Arabidopsis thaliana: one gene and its partners. The protein of the gene in region 2 interacts with the protein of the main gene of each other region in a pairwise test. Each region holds a gene or a part of one and is shown on either strand. Other genes may lie near its edges. The genes, in order: TOC64-V, APC2 and AT2G19080.

The links.
Region 1: the proteins of APC2 (region 2) and TOC64-V interact in a two-hybrid assay, tested with the Arabidopsis thaliana proteins (one study listed by BioGRID).
Region 3: the proteins of APC2 (region 2) and AT2G19080 interact in a two-hybrid assay, tested with the Arabidopsis thaliana proteins (one study listed by BioGRID).

Annotation. Positions count from the first base shown.
Region 1 is NC_003076.8:2,923,549-2,934,456, forward strand, and holds TOC64-V (translocon at the outer membrane of chloroplasts 64-V), read left to right. Parts: upstream 1-4,624; 5' UTR 4,625-4,767; coding exon 4,768-5,009; intron 5,010-5,213; coding exon 5,214-5,366; intron 5,367-5,455; coding exon 5,456-5,580; intron 5,581-5,670; coding exon 5,671-5,796; intron 5,797-5,904; coding exon 5,905-6,087; intron 6,088-6,170; coding exon 6,171-6,315; intron 6,316-6,498; coding exon 6,499-6,667; intron 6,668-6,838; coding exon 6,839-6,976; intron 6,977-7,084; coding exon 7,085-7,285; intron 7,286-7,395; coding exon 7,396-7,523; intron 7,524-7,602; coding exon 7,603-7,654; intron 7,655-7,908; coding exon 7,909-7,978; intron 7,979-8,122; coding exon 8,123-8,202; 3' UTR 8,203-8,473; downstream 8,474-10,908. Other genes in the region: EICBP.B (ethylene induced calmodulin binding protein), read left to right, coding at 1-24, 161-235, 337-447, 949-1,344, 1,673-2,361, 2,522-3,104, 3,204-3,548, 3,621-3,743; AT5G09430 (alpha/beta-Hydrolases superfamily protein), read left to right, coding at 8,614-9,270, 9,362-9,454, 9,547-9,614, 9,697-9,814. UniProt on the Arabidopsis thaliana protein: Chaperone receptor mediating Hsp90-dependent protein targeting to mitochondria.
Region 2 is NC_003076.8:20,749,672-20,759,670, forward strand, and holds APC2 (Mitochondrial substrate carrier family protein), read left to right. Parts: upstream 1-3,368; 5' UTR 3,369-3,676; coding exon 3,677-4,115; intron 4,116-4,693; coding exon 4,694-4,930; intron 4,931-5,024; coding exon 5,025-5,576; intron 5,577-5,665; coding exon 5,666-5,756; intron 5,757-5,865; coding exon 5,866-6,043; 3' UTR 6,044-6,466; downstream 6,467-9,999. Other genes in the region: SDHAF2 (succinate dehydrogenase assembly factor), read left to right, coding at 1,029-1,144, 1,237-1,344, 1,414-1,540, 1,608-1,634, 1,810-1,878, 1,973-2,119; RHD2 (NADPH/respiratory burst oxidase protein D), read right to left, coding at 7,813-7,922, 8,013-8,536, 9,769-9,842, 9,930-9,999. UniProt on the Arabidopsis thaliana protein: Calcium-dependent mitochondrial carrier protein that catalyzes the import of ATP co-transported with metal divalent cations across the mitochondrial inner membrane in exchange for phosphate (Pi).
Region 3 is NC_003071.7:8,261,150-8,270,440, reverse strand, and holds AT2G19080 (metaxin-like protein), read right to left. Parts: upstream 7,742-9,291; 5' UTR 7,624-7,741; coding exon 7,464-7,623; intron 6,910-7,463; coding exon 6,575-6,909; intron 6,473-6,574; coding exon 6,396-6,472; intron 6,308-6,395; coding exon 6,247-6,307; coding exon of another isoform or gene 6,169-6,246; exon of another isoform or gene 6,137-6,168; coding exon 5,992-6,136; intron 5,865-5,991; coding exon 5,695-5,864; 3' UTR 5,303-5,694; downstream 1-5,302. Other genes in the region: AT2G19090 (DUF630 family protein (DUF630 and DUF632)), read left to right, coding at 2,562-3,843, 3,929-4,143, 4,230-4,453, 4,540-5,263; SHT (spermidine hydroxycinnamoyl transferase), read left to right, coding at 8,483-9,291. UniProt on the Arabidopsis thaliana protein: Involved in transport of proteins into the mitochondrion.

The DNA of each region.
Region 1 (10,908 bases), about 18 Mb from region 2:
GACCATCTCCTGAACCTCAAACTGGTACTTCTCAAATAAGGGAGAAGCAGGAAGTTAGCATATTAAATTCTTACTGTTAGAGCTCTGTTTTGGGTACTCACCTCTCTTTCTGGTTTCCTGTCTGCATTTTTGTTAAGAAGGCCTTTGTTTTCCTGTCTAGGAAATCGCTATGGTTGGACACCTGCTCCTGGCATGCGTAATGTTTCACAGGTTCATGGGAACAGAGTCAGAGAAAGTGATTCCCAGAGATTAGTTGATGTCAGAGCTTTGGATACCGTTGGGAATTCGCTGACAAGATTTCATGATCAGCCTTATTGTAATAATTTGTTGACTCAGATGCAGCCTTCTAATACTGACTCAATGCTGGTGGAAGAAAATTCAGAAAAAGGTGGGCGGTTAAAGGCAGAGCATATCAGAAATCCTCTTCAAACTCAATTTAATTGGCAGGTAGTGTACTGTGTACGCATGCTTTTTGTAATTATTTATGAAAGAGCAATGCATAGATATTATTAGTGAAAGTATAGAAAAAAATGTCCATGGATGTTAAGAATTATACAAAAGAGAGAGATGTGTTGTGAAGAAAAAGCTTAGAAATGTGTGACGATGTCATAGCATAGCAAACTTTGGAGCTAAATTAGATTTATGTATGTTTTACATGCCTTTATCAGCAATTTTCTCAGGGTTGATATTTCTGTCATTGACGCATTGTTAAGCTAGTTGGTTGAAGTTGAATTTATCTGTCGGTAATTACTCTGAAAAGGTGCATTCGATGCCTTAATCAGTTTTACCTTGACCTCAGATAAGAAGATGAAAAACATCTAATACCTACTTTTGTTATATGGCTCCTTCCCCTCTATAGATTGTAAAGTTCTTTATTTAAGCTCGCATTATTATTATCAGGAAGATTTGTTTTGAAGTGCTCTGATTTCGAAATACTTATCTATGTAGGATGACACTGATCTGGCGTTATTTGAGCAAAGTGCACAAGATAATTTTGAGACATTTTCCAGTCTCCTTGGCAGTGAAAATCTGCAACCTTTTGGAATTAGTTATCAAGCTCCTCCTTCAAATATGGACTCTGAATATATGCCTGTAATGAAAATATTGCGAAGAAGCGAAGATAGTTTGAAAAAAGTCGATAGTTTTTCTAAGTGGGCTATTAAAGAACTTGGGGAGATGGAGGATTTGCAGATGCAGTCTTCACGTGGAGATATTGCATGGACCACTGTTGAATGTGAAACTGCAGCAGCTGGGATCTCCTTGAGCCCTTCTCTCTCTGAGGATCAGCGTTTCACCATAGTTGATTTTTGGCCAAAAAGTGCAAAGACAGACGCAGAAGTTGAGGTAATTTCACTGTACATATTTGGAAAAATTGATTGGTGATGTACCATTCTATTAAGATGGTTAAGTTTGTTTATCCATTTTCCAGTTTCCAAATAATTTTTGTGGTTAAGACTTTGAAGCAATTGCAAAATATTTCGTGCTATATTTTTAGCTGGGTGCTGGGGTTTAAAGTCCCTTATTGATGTTCATGCAGCAGTTTCATTTTGATGATCCTGCTTTCTCATTATTTTTATTAGTAATGCTTTTTCCGTTTTGCTGATTTCGCTCTCTGTTTTGGTTGTTTTGTTGTGGTGACTAATTTCTTTTTTATGTATCACTCTATTTGCAGGTCATGGTTATTGGGACATTTCTACTTAGTCCGCAAGAAGTAACTAAATATAATTGGTCATGCATGTTTGGTGAAGTGGAAGTTCCTGCTGAGATTTTAGTAGATGGTGTTCTTTGCTGTCATGCTCCACCGCATACAGCTGGTCACGTCCCCTTTTATGTTACATGTTCCAACAGATTTGCTTGCAGTGAAGTACGAGAATTTGATTTCCTTTCTGGTTCTACCCAAAAAATCAATGCTACAGATGTTTATGGTACCTATACAAATGAAGCATCACTTCAGTTGCGGTTTGAGAAGATGCTTGCTCACAGGGATTTTGTTCACGAACACCATATATTCGAAGATGTTGGGGACAAACGAAGACAAATCAGTAAAATTATGTTGCTAAAGGAGGAGAAAGAGTATCTCCTTCCAGGGACATATCAGAGAGACTCAACCAAACAAGAACCAAAAGGACAGCTTTTTAGGGAACTGTTTGAAGAAGAACTATATATATGGCTCATACATAAAGTGACTGAAGAGGGTAAAGGTCCAAACATATTGGATGAAGATGGACAGGGTATTTTACACTTTGTTGCAGCGCTTGGGTATGACTGGGCCATTAAACCGGTGTTAGCAGCAGGAGTTAACATTAACTTCCGTGATGCCAATGGCTGGTCTGCCCTTCATTGGGCTGCGTTTAGTGGCAGGTATGGACCTCTATCTCACATATCTTCAATTTCCTTTAATCATAATATTATTATTTGAGATTTTGCATTTCGTTTAAGATGCTCACATTGATGATGCTTTAACTCTATTATTTGGTCAACATTGCCATATCAAACTAACTCCTTTTCCTGTTAACTATAGGGAGGAAACTGTCGCTGTGCTTGTCTCTCTAGGTGCTGATGCTGGGGCATTAACGGATCCATCTCCAGAGCTTCCATTGGGTAAAACAGCAGCTGATTTGGCTTACGCAAATGGACACAGGGGAATTTCGGGATTTCTTGCAGAGTCTTCCTTAACTAGTTATCTTGAAAAGCTAACAGTGGACTCAAAGGAAAATAGCCCTGCCAACTCTTGTGGAGAAAAAGCTGTTCAAACAGTCTCTGAGCGAACCGCTGCTCCTATGACCTATGGCGATGTACCAGAGAAACTTTCCTTGAAGGATTCACTTACTGCTGTCCGTAATGCTACGCAAGCGGCTGATCGTCTCCATCAAGTATTCAGGATGCAATCATTCCAACGGAAACAGCTGTGTGATATTGGCGATGATGAAAAGATTGATATCTCCGACCAGTTAGCTGTTTCTTTTGCAGCTTCTAAAACTAAGAATCCAGGACAGGGTGATGTCTCTCTTAGTTGTGCTGCTACCCATATCCAGAAGAAATATCGTGGTTGGAAGAAGAGAAAAGAGTTTCTTTTAATCCGACAAAGAATCGTTAAAATTCAGGTTTGCCTTTCATTGAGTTTTTTTTTCTCCCCCTTATTTCTTTGCATAAGTCTTTTGTCTGGTTTCTCATTGCTGGAATCATATTACATTTACCTTTAGGCTCATGTGAGAGGACATCAGGTCCGGAAACAATACCGAACAGTCATCTGGTCTGTGGGATTACTCGAGAAAATCATTTTGCGTTGGAGACGCAAAGGTAATGGTTTGAGAGGGTTTAAACGCAATGCAGTCGCCAAAACCGTGGAACCGGAACCGCCTGTATCAGCTATATGTCCTAGGATCCCACAGGAAGATGAGTATGATTATCTTAAAGAGGGAAGAAAACAAACAGAGGAAAGGCTACAGAAGGCTCTGACTCGTGTTAAGTCGATGGTTCAATACCCAGAAGCACGGGATCAATACCGTAGACTCCTAACGGTTGTTGAGGGCTTCCGTGAAAATGAGGTACCCAAGACCCATAACATAATCAGTTAATCATATTTTGTTGAGCATTCTTGTGATAAATTGTTGTTGCAGGCTTCATCAAGTGCATCTATAAACAATAAAGAAGAAGAAGCAGTCAACTGTGAAGAAGACGATTTTATTGACATTGAGTCTCTTTTGAACGATGACACATTGATGATGTCTATTTCTCCTTGATTTTACTTTCTGACTCGTATTCATTTTTCCTTCTTTTACTTTCTAACTTTATTTCTTCTCTGTAAATACCATAGTTGATATTTACCGCTTAATTTATTACTTGGATTGAAATAGAATTATTCACTATTTTCTTTCGTCTTAACAATATATAACTTTTTTATTTGTTCATTTGGCTTTTCTCTGCTAATATTATATAGCCAAGTGTTGGATTACTCTGATTCATATTTGTATCCGTATTGAATATTCTTCTCTTTATTAGCTGTTTTCTGCAATTTATACATCATATTTGTTTTGGTCAAACTCATACATCAGTCATATTGTTATAGTTTAAATTTGAATGGTAGTATGATATTGAGCTAACTTTTAAAGGTTATAAATCCGGGTCGACATGCCATTTTATCTACCAAATTTGGATTGGTAAACCATTAAAGCTATAAAAAAAACTTAACTTGGATTTTCCTATAATCTGAAGATAAAATTGGATTGACGGGCAAGGCTACAGAAAATGGAAACTTAACAATAAATTATAGCAGTATATATTTTAATTTTTTCATTATTATATTGAGGTTTTTAGTGGCTTGACTAGCTTAAAATCTATTTTTCCACGAGTGGAAAAGTTCATTAAGAGAAGAAATGGCCAACAAAAGAAATTATAAACCTAAATCAATTTGTACAAGCTTATTAAAAAAAATTGAAACGAGTAATTCTAATAAATAAAGGAATTAAAATTAAAATTTCCATTTTTCTTAATTTAATTTTTTTTTTTAATTTCTTTATCGATTTCGTAAAGACAATTATTAATCAATCAAAAAGAGAAGATTCGCCTTGGGCAGACGGACTTGAGTTCACGGCTGGCCAAGTCATCACTCGTAATTAAAAGGGTTTAGACACAGTGCGCACGATAGCATCTGTGTTTGCTTCTTCCAAATCTCTCTCCTATTTTTCTTTCCCCTTTTCTCTCTTAAACCCTCCTAAAACCCTTGTCTCTCTCTCTCTCTCTCTCTCTTTCTCGTGAGATCGCGTTATGTCGAATACGCTTTCTTTGATTCAAAGCAATGCCTCGAATCCCAAAGTTTGGGTAGTGATCGGCGTGACGGTGGCCGGGATCGTGATTCTGGCGGAGACCCGGAAGCGGCGGATTAGAGCCCTTAGAGAAGAAGACTTTGGTGCTTTCTTAGATCGTTTCGAGCTTCTTCCTTTCCCTCCGCCTCCTCCTCCTGCTGCTAAACAATCTCTCTCTGGTCTTACCTTCTCCATCTCCGACGCGTATGTATCTCTCTCTCTCTCTCTCTCTCTCTCTCTCTTAAAAATCATAACCTATTTTCAAATTTGTTTTTTCCTGCTTTATATAATGATCTCGCTTATAAAGTTCAAAACTTTTGTTTGGTTTAATTGAGATTTTGACTTGCTTAGACGAAGTCATGTTGCAATGAAATGAATAAAGTTATATCGGGGTTAATGGTTTGACAGGTTCGATGTTAAGGATTATATCACAGGATTTGGTTGTCCACAATGGAAGAAGACTCATGAGGCTGCTGAGAAAACTGCTGTGGTTGTCACGACGCTCTTGAAAAATGGAGCTACTTGTGTTGGCAAGACTATAATGGATGAGCTGGGTTTTGGGTATCTCTCCACTCCTACCATTCTGCATATGAAATGACCTTTCGGTAGTTGGTTTGAAGAAAGTTTGTGTTTTGAATGTGATTTTACAGGATTATTGGAGAAAACAAGCACTATGGAACTCCTATTAATCCATTGATGCCAGATAATGTTCCTGGAGGATGTTCCAGTGGCTCAGCAGTTTCTGTTGGGGCTGAACTCGTTGACTTTTCACTTGGTATTGTTAATCTCTTCGTTTTCTCTTGGTAATGTGTTTCTTGGATTACGTTTGGTTCTTTATGCTAATCAAAAGATGCTTGATTTGCAGGGATTGATACCACTGGTGGTGTTAGAGTCCCAGCAGCCTTTTGTGGTATTCTTGGTTTTCGACCATCTCAGGGGACTGTTTCTTCAGTTGGAGTTTTGCCCAATTCTCAGAGCCTAGAGACTGTTGGTACGTTACATTCCCCTCCCTTTTAGTGTTTTTAGTGTAGTTTCAATGGTACATGCTACTCTAGGTGTTTGCCTTCCTGATTATTGAACTCATTGATTCGTTCTGTAGGATGGTTTGCCTCTGATCCATCCGTTTTGTGTCAAGTTGGACATGCCTTACTAAATCTGAGTGCAGTAACACATAGAAGGCAAAGATCTTTAATCTTTGCTGATGATTTATTCGAGCTCTCTGACATTCCTAAGCAAAAGTCGGTGCAAGTTGTCAGAAAGGCAATCGAGAATCTATCTGGCTGTAAGTTTGCAGCTGTATTGTTTCCTTCTCTTTGCCCTTCTCCAGATTCATATCTTATGTCTCTTGACCACTGGCTCATGCAGACAAGACTCCAAAACATGTTAACGTTGGCCAATATGTCGCTTCAAATGTACCAAGTCTTGCGGAATTCTGTGAGCAATCTGGGAAATCCCAAAATTCAGCATCAACTTTAAGGGCTCTTTCATCTGTGATGTTGGCTATACAAAGGTATTTAAGAAGCTCACACTTCTTGAAATTTTCACTGCATCAATACTTTTTTCTCTCTCTCGTTCCTTTTAAACGGGTGCAATAAAAGATTGTTGTTATTCCCTCTTTGCTGGAGGTTACTATTTTCTTCTTAAGTTGTATTATATGCAAATATCGAAGAAGAAAGGATTTTCTTTTTACCAGGCATGAGTTCAAAACAAATCATGAAGAATGGTGGCAAACATGCAAATCGTTTCTAGGGCCAAGATTTTCCAATGATGTTGTTACAGCTCTGAAGAGCAAAAACGAGAGCATTAAATCCCTCTACAGAGTGAAAAATGAGATGCGGGCCACCATTCAAAGCCTTTTAAAGGTAAACTCGATTTTTGGAAATTTAAAATTTTCACAGCCATTAGTGTCTTGAGGACATTTTGCCACCAAAACACTGAAGTCTGAAGAGATTGAATTATTAACTTTCATTTTTGCGGCTTCTTTTTAGTTCTATGGTATTATGATTAACCATAGATCGGTATCTTATTACTAGGAAGATGGAATTCTGGTAATCCCCACAGTTGCTGATCCCCCTCCAAGGCTTAACACAAAGAGAAATAAATCTTTGAATGAGTTTCTTGATCGTACTTATGCACTCTCCTGCATTGCAAGCATGTCTGGATGTTGTCAGGTATATTTCCATCTCCTCTTTCTCATTCAATGGTTGGGGAACATTCTTGTTGCCTTTTCCTTACTCTTCAGTCTTTAGTCATGACACAAATATATACATATTCTTCAGGTTACAATTCCTTTAGGGGAACATGGTGATCGTCCAATATCCGTGTCGCTTCTTACTTACTATGGAGGTGATAAGTTCCTTCTCGATACAACTCTCGATGTATATGCATCCCTTCAAGACCAAGCCAAACTTGCATCCAACTTAGCTCCAGTGTCTGACACCAATGGTAACATGGAGGCTTCTGAAGTTATGAAAGAAAAGGTAAAACTATCTCTTTGAGTTTGACAAATAGTATATTTGGTTCTGATCCATGATATGCTACTGGAGTTGGAATGTTCTCAAAGTTAACAGTGGATAAAATGTAATTCCAGGGCAATGCTGCATACAAGGGGAAACAATGGAATAAGGCGGTAAACTTTTATACAGAAGCTATAAAATTGAATGGAGCAAATGCTACTTATTATTGCAATAGAGCTGCAGCTTTCTTGGAACTTTGCTGGTAATTGTTCTCTTCATATCTTTCATTCTGATCTGAATATAATTTATTATGATTTTCTGATCTGAGAGTTTGTTTATAGCTTCCAACAAGCCGAACAAGATTGTACCAAGGCCATGTTGATCGATAAGAAGGTGAAAACTTGATTAGCTGCCTTATTTCTCCATCCCTCGTAGTTTGTTTTGTTACATTGTGTTTTTAACATGGTTTTGTGTTTAAGTACACTTGAGCTGGAACAAAACTATTCACTTTTTATTTATTTGATTTGCGGCGTAATACCTTTGTACTATGACTATCTAGTTTCATTATCACTCAGATCACTCACTATAGACACAATGACGCATTATTTGGAAGCTTTGATTCTTATAATAGTTATTTGTTTCTACAGAATGTGAAGGCATATTTGAGACGAGGGACTGCTAGAGAATCACTTGTACGGTACAAGGAAGCTGCTGCAGGTATGATGATTAAACTACTCTGAGATTGTAATTTTATCACATTGGAGAAACTTGTTAAAAGATAAAATTCATCTAGCTATCCAGATGAGTTACTCTCTCTAGTAGGGTATTGGAGCGTAACATTATGGTTGATCATCTCTGCAGATTTCAGGCACGCATTGGTCCTTGAACCACAGAACAAGACGGCAAAGGTTGCTGAGAAGAGACTCCGAAAACACATATGAGTTAAAAAGGATTATTACTCGATTTCTCTTGTTCACCAATCTATCTTTTCACTTATCTAAAACCCTAAAAAGGAAAGGTTTTGCTCCGGTTTCAACAGACTAATAATTTAGTGGTTTTGTGACATGTGTACAGATTGGGATGAAAACTTCTACCTCTAATTACTTGATCTGAAAAGTTTTATGGGGTCCTTTTAGCTTCTTTGTTTTCTTAACGGTCTTTTACGTAAATTACAATTTCCCCCAAGTCCAATACTGTAATTCCTTAAATTACACGGAGGGACCCATAAATGACACGTTTACAATCAATTTCTCGACAAATAACTGAATTCGTTGTTTGTTTTTTTCCTCTTCGTCATCGTCACGCCTCCGTATCTTCTCCTCTGTTTCATTTTTGAATTATTCGAATCAAAAATGTTTGATCATATGAAACTGCTGCGATGCTTCAGCTTCACGGCGTCGCGAGATTGGTTATTCCGGCAATCATTCGCAAACGCCGGTCTACGTTCCGTAACGACAGATCTCTCCCACGGCAATTCAATCGCATCAACAGCTATGCATTGTTGGATTCCTAAATCCCCGAATCGATCTAAACCTAATCTCCTCCTCCTCCACGGATTCGGCGCCAACGCAATGTGGCAATACGGAGAACATCTCCGAGCTTTCACCGGCCGATTCAACGTCTACGTTCCCGATCTCCTCTTCTTCGGGTTATCATCCACATCGGAACCAAACCGAACCGAATCTTTCCAGGCTCGGTGTCTGATGAGGTTAATGGAAGCGCACGGAGTCCAGAGGATGAACATCGTCGGGATTAGTTACGGTGGATTCGTTGGGTATAGTTTAGCGGCGCAGTTTCCGGAGAACGTTGAGAAGCTTGTGCTGTGCTGCGCAGGGGTTTGTTTGGAGGAGAAAGATATGGAGGACGGATTGTTTAAGGTGCCGAATCTAGAAGAAGCTACCGGAATTTTGATTCCTCAGACGCCGGAAAAGCTTAAGGAACTCATAAGATTCTCTTTCGTTAAACCAATCAAAGGTGTTCCTTCGTTTTTTCTCTGGGATTTTATCGATGTAAGTTTTTTCCTTTATAATAATGTCTTTGTTTGTTTGTTTGTTGATAAATGTTGGAGTTTTGAGAAATGTTGTTCAAAATGTTGAAAAGGTAATGTGTACGGAGTTTGTAGAGGAGAAGAGAGATTTGATCAAATCAATACTCAAAGATAGGAGACTTTCTGATCTTCCTAGGATCAAACAGGTACAAACCTTTATTCGGATTTTAATTTGCTTATGTAAATTTCGCAGTTCCTATAACATTGTGTGTATGTGTGTGTTTATTGGTTGAATTAGAAATCGTTGATCATATGGGGAGAAGAAGATCAAATATTTCCACTGGAACTAGGTTACAGATTAAAAAGGTAAACAACAACATGTATATTAACTATAGAGATTACCCTCTGTATTTTTTTATGTGTTTATAATAATTGTATGGTGAAACAGACATATAGGAGAGAGTGCAGAGATAGTGGTGATCAAGAAAGCAGGACATGCTGTGAATTTGGAGAAGTCCAAGGAATTTGTCAAGCATTTGAAATCTTTTCTCATTGACTCTTTGTGAATTACTTTTTCCTATAATATCAACCATTTTTATTTTTACACTATTCTTCAATATATAGGTGATCTTTCTTTCTTGTCTAAAAGCTTAAAACATCAACTGTCTATTAGGAAATTATGTTAGCTGTTAGATCACAAATACGATTATTTTATCCACGCCAGATAGAACTTGACAACTGCAGAGCCTGAGTTATACAATCTACAACAAAAATATCCAATAAGGCAATAACAATTAAAAGGCCTATTTTAGCTGGCCTTTGTTTTGATTGGTGGGCTTTGATAAAGGAAGTTAGAATATTGAAAACAAAAAAAAAAAATTGAGTTTAAATAAAATTATATACAGTTCTTTGCATGGTCCAATTTTATGTGGCTCCCCTATCGACTATCGTCTAAATTTGTTGTACAATGTGAAGGTCGAATTATATATATTGAGAAGATTCCAATAATATGGACTTCCGATACATGACAAGAGAACTGGGACCAATCTGTGTATATAAGAGAGATTGGTTTAGTCAACATGAGAAGTTGGTCGGTCGGTCGGTCGGTCGGTCGGCGGCAATACAAGGCTAACATATACACCTCACAATATTTTATTGATTAGTTAAGCCAAACTTATCCTTAACTTATAATGATTGAATCGTTAGGAATTTTATTTTGTTAAAAGAAGAGATGTATTTTACTAATTAATGTTGTGACTTACCTAATCTACTTAGTGGCACTTCTATTCTATACGAGCTGTGGATTATTGCCTTTTCTTATCAATTTTTGGCTCATCCGTTGGTGATATTATTATGTAACTAAGAAAATATATAGGGTTTAGTTGAAAGTGGTATATATTGGCTGCTTCTGCGGACTAATAATTATTGAAGCGTTTGATAAAAGTGCCGGCACTCGTCGAATGTAGACAAATACTTGGTGACGTTTTTACATTAATGTTCAAAGGACAACAAAATTCAATTCAAGACACTGACCTTTAATTTTCGGCCTTACCTATATACTTCGTTGATTATATATGCAGTAAACAACCATATGTTAGTCATTCGACGACTCATTTATTTGCAAAAGCAACAAATGATAAAATCGTAAATAAATTATTTT
Region 2 (9,999 bases):
TCGACCATTTCTTAACAAAAAAAAATAATAATTCGACCATTTGGTTTTGTGGCGGTTTAAAATTGAGAAAACAATCTTATTTAAGAGTCTCTCGTGTTACACACTCTCACTACGAATCTATGATCCACATGACCACATGCATGTCACGTTGCATCCTCTCACATTTTGATAAAATTTATTTGGGACATTTTCGGTATATAGCTCAAGGCTCACAATCTCTCATATAACAGCTAAGATAACGTTCTTATTCTGGTTTAGATATATATAATGAAGAAATTAATTAGTTTCAATGTGTCATATCCACAATTATTCTAATTTTTCTTATTTATTATATATTTAATTCTAATATCTTTTTTTGCCAAACACTATTAATTCCATATACTAATTATTTTTATCAACTAAACTTTTTTTAATTGTGGTATATTTATTTTTGGTATATTATTTTTTATAGGTAAAATTATGTTATATTTATTATTTTTATCAAAAGTAAATAAATATATTTTGAATAGATAAGATAAGATATTTTTTCTTTCACATATTTTTGGGATTAATATTAGATTAAAATATAGTTAAAATCGAGTAAGTTTGGTTAAATTCTGGATAAATAGAAAATATTGTCTATTTACTGATCGATTCAATTAGAAACATAGTTTTAAGAATAAATCCAAAAATACATATAATTTTATTAGTTGCAATTAGTCAACCCTAAAAACAATTGACAAAAAACAATTAAACTAAATATCCTACTACAGTTTTTAACTCTGGCATAATATTGAATCAACAATCAAATCATCTAAAAGAATATGTAGTTCTCTATTCCTCAAGATTTTATGTCTACTTTCGGCTCGTCATATCAATTTGTACTGTTGTACATATCTAAGCCAAAAAGAATAAAAATTAGTTATAATCATATGTGATCAAGAGAAGGCCACGACAAGTATAGGCCCATTAATGGGTCCATAAGTACCCACTTTCATTACAGAACAACACTTTCCTGCCGAAAAGAGAGAGAGAAAACAAAACAAAAAATGGCTACCCGAAAAGCTCTGATCAACGTTCACCGGATCATTCGCTCCACCGCCGTGGTTGGCCGGAGCTCTATCATTCCTGCCGCCGCTAACCGGTCATATCCTATTATATTCCGGTACTTTAACTTTCTCTCCACCGTAATAATAGTGATCTGTGTATTCGTGAACACGCCTGAAAAAAAAATTGTGGGATTGATATTTTTTCTAGGAATGGAGTTGATTTGGGGGCGAGATTCTTCTGTGAGAACACTGCGTCTGCCCAGAATTTCGATATTGATCTCTCTAACGAAGAGAATAAGAGAAGAACGATCAACAGGTATGGTTATAATTTTGGATTCGATTTGTTTCAAATGTTGGTGATTGATTGTTAGGGTTTTGGTGATAGATTGTTGTATAGGAGCAAGCAAAGAGGGTTTTTGGAACTTGATCTTGTTTTGGGGAATTGGGTTGAGGAGAATGTTAATTCCATGGACGAAAATGGTGTTAAATCCCTAATTCATGTCCTCAATTTGGTATGTTTCATTGTCTCTTCTTATCAGTAAAAATTATCTTTATGTATATGAATATTTGCATGTTTAGGTAGAATCTGAAGCTACCAAATTACTTGTATGGAGGAGTTGTTTAACCAGATTGAGGTTGTTTCTGTGATGTGATCTAATCTCGAAATGATCCATACAAGTAATTTGGTTGGTGAAAACTTTATTATGTTCATAGTGACGTCAAAAGGTGTAATCAGGAATTTGTTAGATTATTGCATTCAATCTTTTTTTGTTCTATGCAGGAAAACCCTGATCTCTGGAAATGGCTAACTGAACAGGAACAGCCTCCGGAAGCAGTGAGTTCAAATCCGGTAATCACAATCTCTTAATCGAGTCTACGTTTAAACAGTATATCGTCTTTTGTTTACTTCAGTGATTAAAACAATCCTTGTTGTGATGTTAAAGGTGTTCTCGGCGTTACACGAGAAAGTCATGAAGAATCTGAACAAGCATGCAGCGCCAGAGACTCGTGCAGCGGCTGGACAGCCCTGGGTCAGAGGATGGGACGATTTCAAGAGAGGCCGTGATGCTCCCATTTCAGGGAATCAGTAAACATAAACTCCTCTTTTCAAAAAGTATCAAAGTGAAAATAAGTTATGATATGAAAATAGATACCAAGTAGTAGCAACCATTACTTTACTATTGTATTAATAAAGAACCAGGCCGTGAAGAAGGTCCATGGCGTTGAGATAATTACAGTGTTGTGTCTTGTTTGTTGAAGTTTCCAAGCTAATATTTGGTGTTACTAGATTTTGCCTAGTTTTGGATAAAATGTTGTCCAAATTTAAAGAGATAAGATGGTAAGATATCTGTCAAAAGATATTATGGTTTACATTTGTCACAGTCACCAAACCAAGATTGAATTTGGTCATTTTTAAAAGCTTGTTAAAGTTCATATGAAAATTAAATACACAGAAATGAGGGTGTTAAATATGTAACTAATACACATCCATAAGCTAGTATAGAAATAATATATCAGGATGCAAAAAAATGTAACTTCGAACAACACAACATACCTGACGAAGATGTGGGTTTTCATATTGCCCATGACAAGATGCTCTAGGACCATCTTCTTTTACTTATTTACATCATTCTTTCTTCAACGATAACTTTGTGTATAAATCTATAAATCATTCTTCTGTAAGTAATGATTTACATCCTCATACATCGAGCAATTGAAATAACTAGAATATGATGTTTATAGAGCTATCTCGTTGTAGAAATATGCAAACTCATATCTTAGTTATGTATGGTTTTGTTGTTAGAAGTTACATTCTTTCACTTTATTTCCTTCCAATATATTATTTCTCCAAGGGATCTCTTACCCTTTTACAGCTATAACCAACATTTTTATCAAATAATTATCATTTTGTGCCTCAATAGCTATCAAAAGCTCTCTTTTGGTCTTTCTAAGTATGGAGGAGGCGATATCAACAACAACACTTACCCATTGTGAAGTTTTAGAGTTTGTTAAAAATGAAAAGTAATATCGTATCAAAGTCTTTTGACTACACATTGAGAAAACCTTTATTTTAAACATGAGATATTGCACATTTACGCATATGCTCCGGGAGGTGTGTCAAGAAAAATCTAGTCTCTTTGGACCTGTCAAGTGTCAACAATCACCAAAAAAGACCTTTCAGAAAATAATAAAATATGTTATACGAATAAAGGTTTTTTGATTTTTTAAGTAAAAATAAAAAGTATTATAATAAAAAGTTATGAAATCATATAATAATAAATTTAAATGGAAGAATATCCCATGAGAATCTCAACTCCGCACCATTGGAGAGATTGGCCCCTTCTTCTTCTTCTTCTTCTTCTTCTTCTTCTTCTTCTTCTTCTTCTTCTTCTTCTTCTTCTTCACCTGCATCAGCACAATTTCCCAATCTCTTCTTCAAATTTAGATCCTTTCTTTCTTCAATCTCTGTATTCGATTAGATTCATCTTTCTTCACTCGAATAACGGGTTTGAGATTCTCTCTACGTTACGCGTTTTTAAATGGTGACCGTTTCTGGAGATTCATTGCAGATCTGAATAAGAGGATGACATGATCACAAACCCAGAATCTCAAATTCTGATTTTTATTCCTATTTGTTGTTGATCATCATGTCGACGACTCATGTTGGTTTACCAACGAAAATGGAAGCTACGAAGTCGTCGAAACAAAATTGTTGCAACCCGGTTAAGAAACCCGGACCCGTTTCAATTGATCATGTTCTCTTAGCTCTCCGTGAGACAAGAGAAGAGCGAGATTTACGAATCAGGAGCTTATTCAGTTTCTTTGATTCTGAGAATGTTGGTTACTTAGATTGTGCTCAAATTGAGAAGGGGTTATGTGCGCTTCAAATCCCAAGTGGGTATAAATACGCTAAGGAGTTGTTTAGGGTTTGTGATGCGAATAGAGATGGGCGTGTGGATTATCATGAGTTTCGTAGATATATGGATGATAAGGAGCTTGAGCTGTATAGAATCTTTCAAGCTATTGATGTTGAGCATAATGGTTGTATTTCTCCTGAGGGACTTTGGGATTCACTCGTTAAAGCTGGTATAGTTTCATTTACATGCTCTGAGCTTATTTTGGTCAAGAATCAAACTTGCAGATCATATTGTTGTTAGATCATTATAAGTCTATAGCAGGAATGTCTTAGATTGTGACTTGGTGAGAAGTTTGAAGTTTGTACAATCTTTGGGGATGCAATCTTGGAAAGTGGAGAATGAGAGTGATAGTTAGGCGTTTACTTGCAGTGTAGGTTGATAAGATTGTGCTAATCTTTTTGCTATATATGTATGATCATTAGTGAAGATGAGACTCTTGTGAATCTGAGTGGTTAAATAAATAATAGACGAATTTGTTTGTTGTTTTTTGGTTCTTTGAGACTGTATATAATTATCTAAAACATCTATGAAGTTTAAGTATGAAGACTTCCTATGGATGTGTATTGGTTTCATTTGGTGTACCATAGTTAATACCTTTCAGTTCTTTGATTTTAAGAATAAGGCTTGTTAATTTTCATTCATATGTTCAAATTTTATATGAGTTCTATGTGTAGAAATAGTGTCAATTGCAACTTTTGTTTATGCTCTGTTTTCGTCCTATAAGCCACAACAGTTTCTATTTTGCAGGGATTGAGATAAAAGATGAGGAGCTTGCTCGTTTTGTGGAACATGTTGACAAGGACAATGATGGAATCATTATGTTTGAAGAATGGAGAGATTTTCTTTTGCTGTACCCTCACGAAGCTACCATTGAAAATATATACCATCACTGGGAAAGAGTATGTCTTGTAGATATTGGAGAACAAGCTGTAATTCCAGAAGGCATCAGCAAACATATAAAGAGGAGTAACTATTTCATCGCAGGTGGACTTCCTTAATTATTTGGAGCTTATTTTCTCCGAACAACGTAAAAAGATTTGGTTATAAGTTTTCTGACAACATAATAGTGCTGTTACAGGTGGCATAGCTGGTGCAGCTTCTAGGACTGCTACTGCACCTCTAGATCGCTTAAAAGTTCTTTTGCAAATTCAGAAAACCGATGCTAGAATCCGAGAAGCCATAAAGTTGATATGGAAGCAGGGTGGAGTTAGAGGTTTTTTTCGAGGTAACGGGTTGAATATTGTGAAGGTAGCACCAGAGAGTGCCATCAAGTTCTATGCATATGAGCTTTTCAAAAACGCTATCGGTGAAAACATGGGTGAAGACAAAGCGGATATAGGCACAACAGTTAGACTTTTTGCTGGAGGAATGGCTGGTGCAGTAGCTCAAGCCTCTATATACCCTTTAGATCTTGTGAAAACTCGGTTGCAGACTTACACGAGCCAAGCAGGTGTTGCTGTTCCCAGGCTTGGAACGCTCACCAAAGATATATTGGTTCATGAGGGTCCACGTGCCTTCTACAAAGGTCTTTTCCCTTCTCTTCTTGGGATTATTCCTTACGCGGGTATTGACCTTGCTGCATATGAGACATTAAAGGACTTGTCCAGGACATATATTCTTCAAGACGCTGGTAAATCTCTTAACTGCTATAGTTTCCCATTCTGTCTGATACTGCTTGAATGTAGGACTCATAAAACTTGGCTTGGGTTTGGTCTTCAGAACCAGGTCCGCTCGTGCAACTAGGATGTGGAACAATCTCAGGAGCTCTTGGAGCAACCTGTGTCTATCCTTTGCAGGTTGTGAGAACAAGGTAATTCCATAGCCCATATGCTTCACCTGCTCCCTCTGTCTTCCTCAACACACAAACTCCATACACAATCATAAAATGCATAAATGAAATATATCTCACTGTCACACAGAATGCAAGCGGAACGAGCAAGAACCTCGATGTCAGGAGTATTCAGGAGAACAATAAGTGAAGAAGGTTACAGAGCACTCTACAAAGGGCTACTACCGAACCTTCTAAAGGTAGTTCCTGCTGCAAGCATTACATATATGGTTTACGAAGCAATGAAAAAGAGTCTAGAACTTGATTGATTTAGTGGCTTCACTTCATTTTGATATTGACGAAAAGAACGAGAATAATAAAAAGAGAACCTATAAAAGTAGGTTATTTTTAACATACATAATTCTTCTAAACATCATTTGTATGAGATAAATACTATAATAAGATTCTCGCTTCTCCAAACTTTAAATATTTAAGGCCACTGCTGTGTATTATCCAACTGTTATGTACGCTTGTTCAATGTTGTGTGCATATGGACCCGGCCCTTATAATGAGAGCTGGTGTTATGAAGTTGAACGTTGAGTATGTCTGACAGTCTGAGAGGTAGACAAGAGACAGAAAATGAAGCTATATGATGTTTTGCTTCAAATCTTCTTTTATGTTTTTAATCTTTATTTGGCTTTATCTTTTAATGTGTTTGGATTTTTCTAGAATCTGAGTTCATTTGTATTCCGATCCAATTGAAACATGTGTGAGGTTTATTCCCCCGATCTCAACATCATTTATTTGACAATACGAAGGTCAAACACCATAATAAACAGAGCGAGAACCACAATAGTAAAAACAGAGCATATGAGTGAAGGAAAATAAATAATTTCAACTAAGGTGTAGTATTAATAAATGTATGTATGCTGTCATATCAGCAAGTGGACGTGCCGGAGTGGTTATCGGGCATGACTAGAAATCATGTGGGCTTTGCCCGCGCAGGTTCGAATCCTGCCGTTCACGCTTTTTCTTTTTCAATTTTAGACAATTTCTTTCACTTTTAGATGAAATAATTTAGACGTCTCCGCATTGCCGAGAGTCTGAAAGGAACGTTGAATAATTTGCTAATGGTAAATTTGGAAAGAAAAATCGTAACGTTTTTAAAAGAAAACAATTGTATTCATAACATTATGCAAATAAACTACTGTAACCATCTACGACTACGAACATCATATTATCTAATATAAAAAAATGCTTAAGGTCTAAATCGTTCTTCTTTGTTATTTTTTTGTTTTCAAGCTCTACATATTTCTATTCTCAAATTAATTTAAAGTACAAATTGAATACGTAAAAGAGATCTATAAGATCATTTCCACTGAGAGTATCTCAACAAAGTTTCTCATTATTAAAATAATTAAAATAATAAAAAGAAAAGAGAGAGTGTAGAAAGTTTCTCAAGTGAGAAACTATGAGATACTCTCTACAAGCCATCATTATATTTCTCTCCTCTCAATTGGTTCAATTTTTTCATGAAAATAAAAATTTAATCATATAATAAAAATTTAATAAAATACTAATATTTTTTTTGTTTGATAAACTTTTTGGGTTTTTCCTTGATGGAGATGCCCTTAAGTTTCTCATTTAAGAAACTATGAGATACTATTTACATGCAATTATGACATTTCTCTTCTTTCAATTGGTTTAATTTTTTCATTAAAATAAAAATTTAATGTTTTTTGTTTGAGAAAATATTTAGGTTTTTTATGGATGGAGATACTCTAAAATTTCGAGACTGTGAGAGATGACAAATAACAAAACAAAAATTTTTATTAGGTCTTTGAGCTTAAGCCAACACTCCTACAACCTTTGCTACTTTTTGCACCGTTTTTCTCAAAAGAAAAAACAAATTAATCATACAATAAAAAAAAGCATACAAAGAAATCTACAGTCAAGAGAGTATATATATATATATATATATGTATACAAATATTAATGTTTTAAAAAATAGTAAGGGAAGTAAAATTACGAAAAACATAATAACTCATGCTTCTTTCTTTTATTTTTTTTGTTTAGGCCTTTTAACTCTGTGTGTCCTTTAGAAATTCTCTTTGTGGAAGGAGAATCTGGTGCTTGTTTTGTGGGTGAAATCTAAAGCTAGATGCCTTAGCTCCTTTGTCAATGCTGGTGCTCCACAGTAAAACACTCCTGCACATACAAAATCAAGATTCTTTAATCCAATCACTTTTCATTTCTATATAACCGCGAACATAGTAGAGAAGAGAGATGTGAGCTTACCAACTTTGGTGTTAGGATGATCCATAGCTATACGCTTGTAAACATTTCTCCAATTAGGTTTAGCGAAATGGGACATAACTCTTGTTCCAGAGACAATGTCGACGCCGTTCTTTGCATGGTTTAGTGATTGAAGCATATGTATAAGTGCGGAACGAGCGTCACCTTCTTCATAGACACTTGTACAATAGTTATGCATTTCGATGACGCGGTTGGCATCTCGTTCCGCGACTTCGTTCATTATGTTCTTGAACCAATCGAAAGAGCCTTGCTCACGCGTAACCCAATAGAAGTAAGCTCTACGGGTCCTGAAACTCTCTTTCTTACTTCGTTGTGGTTCGCTTGTTCCATTCTCCATTCGGTTTAGTTGGGCTTGTTCCTTGGCCTTGATGTTATTAACAATGTCTTTGACGATACTGATCATTGGTGTGGCTCCAATCCCGAGACCAACTAGTAGAACCACCTCGTACTTCTTGTAGTCTTGTGCTGGTGCACCATATGGACCATCAATCAAGACTTTCGGGAAGCTGTGGAATCAGTGTCATTGCCATTAGCCAAAGCAAAAGAAAGAGACTAAACGTAGATGGAATTGTTCAGATAACAAAATATCTTGGTTGTAGCCAAATATTAAGTAAAAATTTAAACATCTATTTTGGTATAAGTAAAAGTTCTAAACATAACTCGTCATATTAACTATTAACTAACATCTTTTAAAATCTGATACATCTTGCAGCGTTAGTTGGATCAAATAATGTAAGACTATTTCTTAATTACGTATATACACATACCATCTTTCTAGTTATTGCCATGTTAATTAAGTATCTCTTGCGACTCCAAATAAGATATTAGGTACGTACAAACTATAAGTAATGATTACATTTTGTATTGCTAGCTAGATAGTTAACACTATTAATGGCACCCAAAGATAAAACCTATAAAACCAAAAACAGTTTCAAATTGGATAAATGAATAGAATAATCATATGCTTATCCAAAACAAATTATTTTGGCATGTGAACAATCAAAACCAAGATTAAGTAGAAGTAAATGAATTGAAAAATCATATGCCTAACGAAACATATTAATTTGGCATGTGAACACTTGCAAGTATATTCGTACACCTAGATGAGCTGGATCTATATTATATCTACATGTGATGTGCCCATATAACCCAAGCTATAAGATAGGAAACTACGAAGACCATTTAAAAAGTCAGCATCTCTTTATTTTATTTTTATTTAGAAAAAGGAACTTTATAAAGTAAATCGACAATAAAATATGAATTGACGTGATGCAAAATATTTTTTAAAAACGTAGAATGTTGACCTAGCCTAATTAATTATCCGATCACCTTGCAAAGGTTTTTCAAGGAAAAGGTTGAGAAATAAGATATTGCAACCCAAAGATTTACGCGGTCACATGGAGAAGCTAAAAAACATCGTGCTTGCATGATATAACCAAATAATGCGTCTCAATCACCTAAATAGAATAGTGATATTTTGGTTAGGTACATAGTTTGTTTTAGTTGTGGTCTCCCACACCGCTTTATTATAATGAATTAGGTACATTGTTTGAATTTGTTACCCTTATATACTCAACAATGCTTTTCCTAAGTGGATATCACGATTCACGAGTCATGATGCATCCTCTCAAAAACCTTCTAGAACCACTTAGCATGATTTAGTCATTTACGTGTAGATGAAAGATAACGACGCATGGATTACATTTTTCAAGATAGAGTGGTTAGGATTTTTACTTACTCGGGATTATTTGCACCATGCAACATGTCGGCTCTAAGCAGACCACTAACTCCTGCCGGTGGTGGCTTACACACCTGAAACAACACATTAAGCAAAAACATTCATATCAAACTCTTTAAATTCAACACAGATCGGTTAAATAGAGACATTATAGTAATAACCTCAGAGAAGACTCCTTTGAGAGCTCGTGTCCAATCCCCAAGAACTCTAATGTGAACACTTAGGTAATCA
Region 3 (9,291 bases), on a different chromosome or scaffold from region 2:
AATCAAGTAGAAAACGTCATAGCTACATCAAAGGCGAACCGCAAGGAGAAAGCAGATGATGTGGTTTGGCGAGGAAGAAATGACATTTATAAACCACAGTTCTCTACACGAGATACTTGGAACAATATTCGAACCACTGCGACCAAGGTTACATGGTACAAAGGAGTATGGTTTTATCAAGCGACTCCAAAATTTTCTTTCTGTGTTTGGCTTGCAGCTTTGGATCGCCTCTCTACGGGAGATCGAATGGCTAATTGGAAAGGGGTTTCTTCAGGATCATGTGTCTTCTGCAATCATCCCACAAAATCTCGTGATCACCTCTTTTTTAACTGCCCCTATTCTTCTGAAGTCTGGACAGTCACAGCAAAGAACATTCTAACGACGCGTTTCACAACGGATTGGCACCTCCTCCTTAACACGGTTTCTAGTTTACAGCAAAATCGAGTTGAAAACTTTCTTGTGCGTTATGCCTTTCAAGCTTCGGTTTACTCAATCTGGAGCGAACGCAACAGAAGACGACATGGGAACACTCTGCATTCAGCAACTCGGCTAATTGGTTGGATCGACAAACAAGTGAGAAACATTCTTTCATCAATTCGAATAAAGGGAGATAGACACTACGATGCGGGACTCCAAATGTGGTTTGATACAAGAGCCTAATCACTTCTAGTTTCTAAATTTTCATTTCAATTCTAAACTTTCAGCTTCATTTCAAACAAGTTGCACATGTTGTAAAAAAAGATAATTTTTCTTTTGAATATAATTTAACATTATATTAAAAAAAAATAAAAAAAATTCAATCATTCTAAATGTAATAAATTACAGTTTCAAGAAACTACGTTACGGGCTAAGTCTGCAATTTAACTTTACGACAATTATGTCCATTGTGCTAGATATGACTGTAAATGCTTGGCCCAATAAAATAGATTGCGGAGAAATTCTAGTTCTCAATATTAATGGCAGTTTTGTGGTTACGTGAAATTCCCAGGGACAAAAAAAAGAAGAAGTACGTATCAGGTATCGAGGCATTTTCATGATATCTTTTACAAATGTGGGTCCAGATCCTGCCTTTTACTTTACAGGCCGGTCCTTTCTTTTTGTTGCTTTTCCTAAATTCGTCCAACGTATTTTCCCACTGGCGACGCTTATTAAGTTACTAAATTGCCCATGCTTAACTACTCATATAGATTCTCCGAATTGATTCCATTTTACACAAAACAATCCACCATGCAAATGTAATTTATATAACTCGACAAAAATATAGATTAGTAAAACTAAAAAAAAAACTTATGTAATTTAGAAGTTACCAAGTAAATCACTATCGGTAATATGATATACTCCCTTTATTTATTTTTGTTTGATTTTCTAGAAAAAATTATTATTCTAAAAAATTGATTTTTTAGATTTTCAATGCAATTCTTATTAATTATAATTGATAAATTGTAAATTTTAATAAAAATTATTAAATACTATTAGTTTAGAGTTATTAAAAATTGTAAATCACAAAGTATAATACATTTAAAATCAATATTTAATATGTTTTCTTAATATTTGTATATTTTCTAGAAAAAGAAAAGAAAACAGAGAGTATAATTTAGTTGTTTACACTATTTGCATCGTTATGTCATTATATTAATATTCATGTTATTATAAGATTGAAATTAATATCAGTATAACAATTGAGGTATGAAAATAAATGTAATGTAAACATCAATAGACTATGCCATATATAAACTCATAAACATAAAACTTAGTACAGAAAAAAGACAAGAAATATTCAGAGTGGCAAAATCGAAAATAAACATGAAAAGCGAGGATAGAAACAAAATAAGCTTCGTGTCCCGTCTTTCTCTTAGCCAATATATATTCTTCGTAGCTTTATTAAAATTTAGTTTAGCTCTACCATTCACTTTATTTATTAATTAATCATCTCTTTTAATTTCGATCAATACACACGATTTTAGTTCTATCAAATGTTTTTTTTTGGTTTTGTTTTATGTAGCCTCTGTCTTCTTCTTCTTCAACTTCTTGATTGCGAGTGAGTCTTGACTTCTTTCTTTCATTCTCTCTCCTTCAAAATCCGACAGTAATTTTGACCGTTGTTTTCTCCAACGTCTCTCTCTCTCTCTACTGTGTATCCCTCACGCTCCTCCAGTCTCTTTTCTTTTGACTCATTATTAGGTTTTTTCTTCTTCTTCTTTGTCTTCTCTCTCTCTTTCTTCAATAACTTCTTTTCTGGCTTTGCTCTTTACTTTCCTTTTGACATTTTCACAACACCAAATCCAAGATTTTACACCATTTCTCATCTGGGTTTCTGTTATTTCTGAGTACAATCTCACCCTTTAATAGAAAACAAGCAAAATCTCTTCAAGGGTTTTAAGGACTAAAGAGCTTTGTCTTGTATATTAAGCAAAGAATCTTCTTATTGTCTTTTTCTCAGTTAATGCGAGTTCAGACATAGTTATTATGTCTTTGTTTTGTTCTGTTCTCAGTTGTTTCATAGCTTTTGTATGAGTGTCTTGAGCTCTGGATTTGAGCTTAGGAAAGAAGAGTAGAGAGAAATGGGATGTTCTCATTCCAAGTTAGATGATGAAGAAGCAGTTCAGATCTGTAAAGACAGGAAACGTTTCATCAAACAAGCTATTGAACATAGAACTAAGTTTGCTTCTGGTCACATTGCTTATATTCACTCTCTTAGAAAAGTCTCTGATGCTCTCCATGACTTTATCCTCCAAGGAGACAACAACAATGAGTTTGTTCCTACTCTCTGTCAAGACTCATTCGTCACTCCGGTCAAGAGAATGCCACAGAGACGTCGTCGAAGCAGCCGTAGTAATAGCGGTGAGTTCATCTCCATTTCGCCTTCTTCGATTCCTCCGAAAATGATTCAAGGTAGGCCAAGATCGAATGTGAAAGCGAATTATTTGATGGCTAATAGAAGTAGACCGGTTAGAGTCGAACAGAGATCTCCTGAAACGTTTAGAGTTGAGACATTTTCTCCACCTAGTAGTAGTAACCAATATGGTGAATCAGATGGTTTCTTTGGAATGAATATGAATATGAATACTTCTGCGTCTACTTCATCTTCGTTTTGGAATCCGTTGAGCTCTCCTGAGCAAAGGTTAAGTAGTCATAACATTCCTCCTCCTTCACCGCAGAATTCGCAGTGGGATTTCTTCTGGAATCCGTTTTCTTCGTTGGATTATTATGGATACAATAGTTATGACCGAGGAAGTGTTGATAGTAGGAGTGGTATAGATGATGAGATTAGAGGATTGAGACGTGTTAGAGAGGAAGAAGGGATTCCTGATTTGGAAGAAGATGATGAACCTCATAAACCTGAACCTGTCGTCAATGTGCGGTTTCAGAATCATAATCCGAATCCGAAAGCAACGGAAGAGAATAGAGGTAAAGTTGATAAGAGTTGTTGCAATGAGGAAGTTAAAGTTGAAGATGTTGATGAGGATGAAGACGAGGATGGAGATGAGGATGATGATGAGTTTACGGATAGCGGGTGTGAGACTGAGAATGAGGGAGACGAGAAATGCGTTGCTCCTCCAACGCAAGAACAGCGAAAAGCTGAGGTGTGTAGAGGAGGAGAAGCTACAGGGAATGTTGTTGGAGTAGGTAAGGTTCAAGAGATGAAGAATGTTGTTGGTGTTAGAGATGATGCAAAGACGACGGGGTTCACGGTATATGTGAACCGGAGACCAACTAGCATGGCTGAAGTAATCAAAGATCTTGAAGATCAGTTCACAACAATTTGTGATGCGGCTAAGGAAGTCTCGGGGCTATTGGAAGCTGGTAGAGCTCAATACACATCATCCTTTAATGACCATAGTGGTGAGTTTATGAACAATGTTGCAATATTTCTCTGTTTAATGACTTCACTTATAAATATGAAGTCCTTTTTTATGTGTGTTTGTAGCCAGGAAAATGCTGAATCCAGTAGCGTTGTTCCGCTCGGGTTCATCAAGATCTTCCTCGTCAAGATTCTTGATCACTTCTTCTGGTGGTTCAAGAGAGAGCGGGTCTGAAAGCAGAAGCGATGTTTCAGATGAATCTTGCATGATTTCAGGTAGCCACCAAACAACATTGGACAGACTTTTCGCGTGGGAGAAGAAACTCTATGATGAAGTTAGGGTAAGTAACAAGAGATATAAGCAACTAGTGACTACATATTAATCTCTGTTGGTTATAACTGAGCCGTCTTTGTGGTGTTGTAACAGTCTGGAGAACGTGTTCGAAGAGCATATGAAAAGAAATGTATGCAGCTGAGGAATCAGGACGTGAAAGGAGATGATCCGCTTGCGGTTGATAAAACTAGGGCTACTATCAGAGATCTAGATACACAGATCAAGGTGTCAATACACTCCATTGAATCCATCTCCAAAAGAATCGAGACTCTTCGTGACCAAGAACTGTTGCCTCAGCTTCTTGAGCTCGTTGAAGGGTAACAACACCAACAACTTCTTTTTCCTTCTCTTCGGTTTCACTTTTAAGCCTCAGACTGACAAATGGTAATCATGATCATAACAGATTAACAAGGATGTGGAAAGTAATGGCGGAAAGTCACCAGATACAGAAACGAACACTAGACGAAGCCAAACTGTTACTTGCAGGCACACCGGTTTCAAAGCGTCACAAGAAGAGACAACCTCCAATAATGCCAGAGGCTATTAACTCTCAAAGATTAGCTCAATCTGCTTTGAATCTTGAAGCTCAGCTTCGAAACTGGAGAACCTGTTTTGAATTCTGGATCACCTCTCAGAGATCCTACATGAAAGCATTATCTGGTTGGCTTCTAAGATGTTTCAGATGTGATCCTGACCCCGAAAAAGTTAGATTATCCTCATGTCTTCACCCGATATACCGAGTCTGCATTCAATGGTCAAGGTTGCTTAACAGCTTGAATGAAAAACCAGTTTTGGACAAACTTGAGTTCTTTGCCTCAGGGATGGGTTCAATATATGCAAGGCAAGTTAGGGAAGATCCAAACTGGAGTGGAAGCGGGTCAAGGAGATACTCCGGGTCAGAAAGCATGGAGCTTGTAGTGGCTGATAAGGGAGAAGAAGATGTTGTGATGACTGCTGAGAAACTTGCAGAGGTTGCTGTGAAGGTTCTCTGCCATGGAATGTCTGTTGCAGTTAGTTCACTAGCTGAGTTTTCCATCAACTCGGCCGATGAACACTCGAAGCTTGTTAGCCAACCAGCAGACGATGCGTCGGAGCAGCAGCCCCCGGATGTAAATTTCAATTCCTAGTACTTGTTATTAATTTTGTTTGGTTTTAGAGAGTTTAGAATTAGGTAGGTTTTTGGCATCATCTTTTGCTATCAGAAGATAGTTTCTTAGATGGATGAGATTTGTATTATTTAGTAAGACAAATAGAGTTAGTTCAGTTGATTCTGAGGATGTGTACCAAGAGTCTTCTAATGTTCCTCGGTATTTTATCCGGTGAATCGGTTCCCATGATGTGCCTTAAAAACCAATGAAATTTATATAAAAGCCAAAAGCTCTCCTTCAGAACGAAAAGTCGAAAACCATTATAATGTGACTAAATCTCACATCTGTATCCTCTCCATAACTAAGAGTTCAAGAAGAAAAAAGCGTAGAGATTACTGGTTATGTTTTTATCTTAGTCTCAGAGAGTTCGCCTGAGAGTTACCGGTCCATTTAATAAGAAAAGCTTTAGTTTAGTCATCTTCATCTTCATACTCCAGTTCATCAGAACTACCTCCTCCCATCACTGATACGTAAATGACGACAGCTAGAAACTGAGCAGCTAGAAAGAACCTTGCTCTTTTCTTAAATTTTTTCTCCTCTTCGGTCTTTTCTACCTTTGGTTTGCTCTTTGGCTTCGAACCTGAACAAAAGATGAAATTCACTTCCTTCACAGGCTTAAACATATCCAATGAATGTTGCATATATGACAGATATATAATATGATGAAATATATATGATATGGACGTTGAAGGTTAGATGTGTCTTACTCTTTCTTGGAAATGAGGAAGGGAATGAGTGAAGTGGAGGTGAAGGAGATGAAGAAGAGGCTTCAAGGAACTCTGACTTAAGTTTCTCAGCATATCGCACAAGATTACTATGTTCCAGAAGTTTGCACCGAAGCACTGATGTAACCTGATCATGCACCATTAAGAAAACTACTTCATCTAAATAGTTCTAAGGCTAAATTCAACCTGATAAACCCATAACTGAGAAATATATTGGTGAAATTTAAAGCTGCTCACTGGTAACGCTTGGATTATAAAAAGTATGTGCGAGAGTAAGAAAGCATCCAAACTCGATGGCCTGTGGGAAGAGAATAATATAAACATTGTCAATCTTTTACAAAAAGGCTTAAGGGAAAGAATCCAGTTCCGGAATGTGATTGCAATACCTGTCTTCAAAGAGAAACTTCTGCTCACCTAACCTAGTCGACAAAGCTTCATATGCCTCACTTGCTCTCTTGTATATCTGTTCACATTTAAGACTATGAACTTTAATAACTAGTTCAAATGCTCACAAATATAAACCACAGGTCTTCTAAAGTAACAACAAAACTTAAACAAACCCGACCTGTTTTTCTCTTTGCTCTGCGTTCTCTTTGGTGATTCCTAAACGGTTCTTTGCCAAGTATGTCTGCTTATAAAACAGGACCTTGCTGATCACCCAAGGAAGATCTGAATAGTAGATTTTCGATGTAGATATCCCCTCGGTACCAACCCATATCTCATAGGTAAGCGCTTCTTCTAGCCAAGACACAATAAGAGCCTTCAAAGATAAATAATCCGAAAGAGACTGTAGCTGAGAGTCCAGATTAACAATCCCATCTTTCTTCAGTTTTTCAATTACTCCTCCATCTTCATTGTTATATGCAACATATGTATCACTTTCAAAGTACGGCAGTTCATCTATATTAAAAACAAATGATTAACATTGTCAATACACAAGCTTATAAATATTGAATGCACAAATTTGTAAATCCGTGAACAAAGGATTACGAAGTGTCTAGAGATATTATCAAACATAACATAGAAATTCTGAAGATATTGTTAATATACAAACTCAATAGCTAAATCAAACAACTAATTTCTTCTGAACAAGTATGAAACATCATCATTCTCTTCGAATTAACAATTACGATAACGAGGAATTCAACCAAAGCTATAACAAGAAATTATGATGAACACTTCCTATCCAGAAAAATTCACCAATGCATATATACACCTCAAAATTGAATTACTATTGCCTAAAAACCCTATCTAAACTCTGATTAACCTAAGAGCAGGATCTTAATAGTACGAATTCGAATCCAGAACTCAAAATTATCTTGTCTAGGATTCGAATCTCAATTCAAGCTAATAGAATTAACAATGTTCACTTCCAACAGATACACATCACGCAACCAAAACCTTAATCTAACAACAACCAAAATACGAAGCGAGGAATCAAAACAGAAGCAAACCTGAATCAGGGAAGGTTGAATTGAACGCAAGTTCAAAAGGTAGCTGGGCTAATTTCAGGTATATATAAGCAGGAAGACAATTAGGGCAAGCTGTTGGGAGATCGAAGGAAGGCTTCCTTGCCACCAAAGTATAAACATTCGTCTCTTGATCGCCTTCCATTATAGTGACTCGTATGTGTGAGAGCTCTGGTCAAAAGAAGAAGAAGTACTCAAGTAAGTTCGATCGTCGATAGAGAGAGATGGGGCGAGAAGAGAAGATCCAGTCGAGTCCGGGTCTGGGTTAAGGTTTAGTCGGTCGGGTTTAAAACTAGGGTTTATTAATACGATAACTCATTTTGGGCTTTAAAAGGCCCACAAATTACCCATTAAGACAAAACTACTGGAGGAGGAGACTCGGAGAAAGTGGAATTGTTTTCTCCTTTTTGTTAGTTTGTAAAAACTAAAATTACTGTGTAACAGTGTAAAATACATCATCCACATTTTTTTTCTTCAAGATGACTTTATAAAAATAAACTCAACTTAAATTCAGAAGATATAATCAAAACTGGCGATGTGGGCTTTTGAATTTAATGCTATGAAGTTAGTATTTTGGATTTACCATTTCTTTTTAGAGTTTATGATATATACTTAAGGATTTAGTTTAGAATTTATACTTTGGAATATACTTGCATAAAAAAGTATAACACATTCCCTAATAGTGATATGAATTTTATGTTATATGTTCTTACCTCGTTTTTTTTCATTTTTTCGTGGAAATATATATTCATCCACAATGTGAACAAAATAGAGAAGAAGGGTAATACGCGTGATCATATACAACCAACAAAACTAAACCTTATTCTCACTTCCACTAATTAAGCTGCTTCGAAGGAAACAAACTAAACCACGAGAAAAACATTTTTGAATTTTGACTAACAGCAAGAAAAATTCGTTGAATCCATATGATTCTGTGTACTATATAAACATTACTTTAGCACGAACTTCAAAAAGAGAAGAGAAAAAGAAAGGGGGTTTGTGTTATGGCTCCCATAACTTTTAGAAAATCTTACACTATAGTACCGGCCGAACCAACGTGGAGCGGTAGGTTTCCCTTAGCCGAGTGGGATCAAGTTGGTACAATTACTCACATTCCCACCCTTTACTTTTACGACAAGCCATCTGAATCTTTCCAAGGCAATGTAGTCGAAATCCTAAAAACCTCGTTGAGCCGTGTGCTAGTCCATTTTTACCCTATGGCTGGCCGTCTCAGATGGCTCCCTCGGGGACGGTTCGAGCTCAATTGTAACGCCGAGGGAGTGGAATTCATTGAAGCGGAATCTGAGGGGAAGCTTTCGGATTTCAAAGACTTCTCTCCTACGCCGGAATTCGAGAATCTTATGCCGCAAGTAAACTATAAAAACCCTATCGAAACGATTCCTCTATTTTTAGCTCAGGTAACCAAATTCAAATGCGGTGGAATAAGCCTTAGCGTCAACGTTTCCCACGCGATCGTAGATGGCCAAAGCGCGCTTCACTTAATATCGGAATGGGGAAGACTCGCGCGCGGTGAACCGTTAGAAACCGTTCCATTTCTAGACCGGAAAATCCTCTGGGCTGGTGAACCGCTCCCACCGTTTGTGTCGCCCCCAAAGTTCGACCACAAAGAGTTTGATCAGCCACCGTTTTTGATCGGAGAAACGGACAATGTAGAAGAGAGAAAGAAGAAAACGATTGTGGTGATGCTACCACTGAGCACATCTCAGCTGCAGAAGCTACGAAGTAAAGCCAACGGAAGCAAACACTCTGACCCGGCGAAAGGGTTTACAAGGTACGAGACCGTCACCGGACA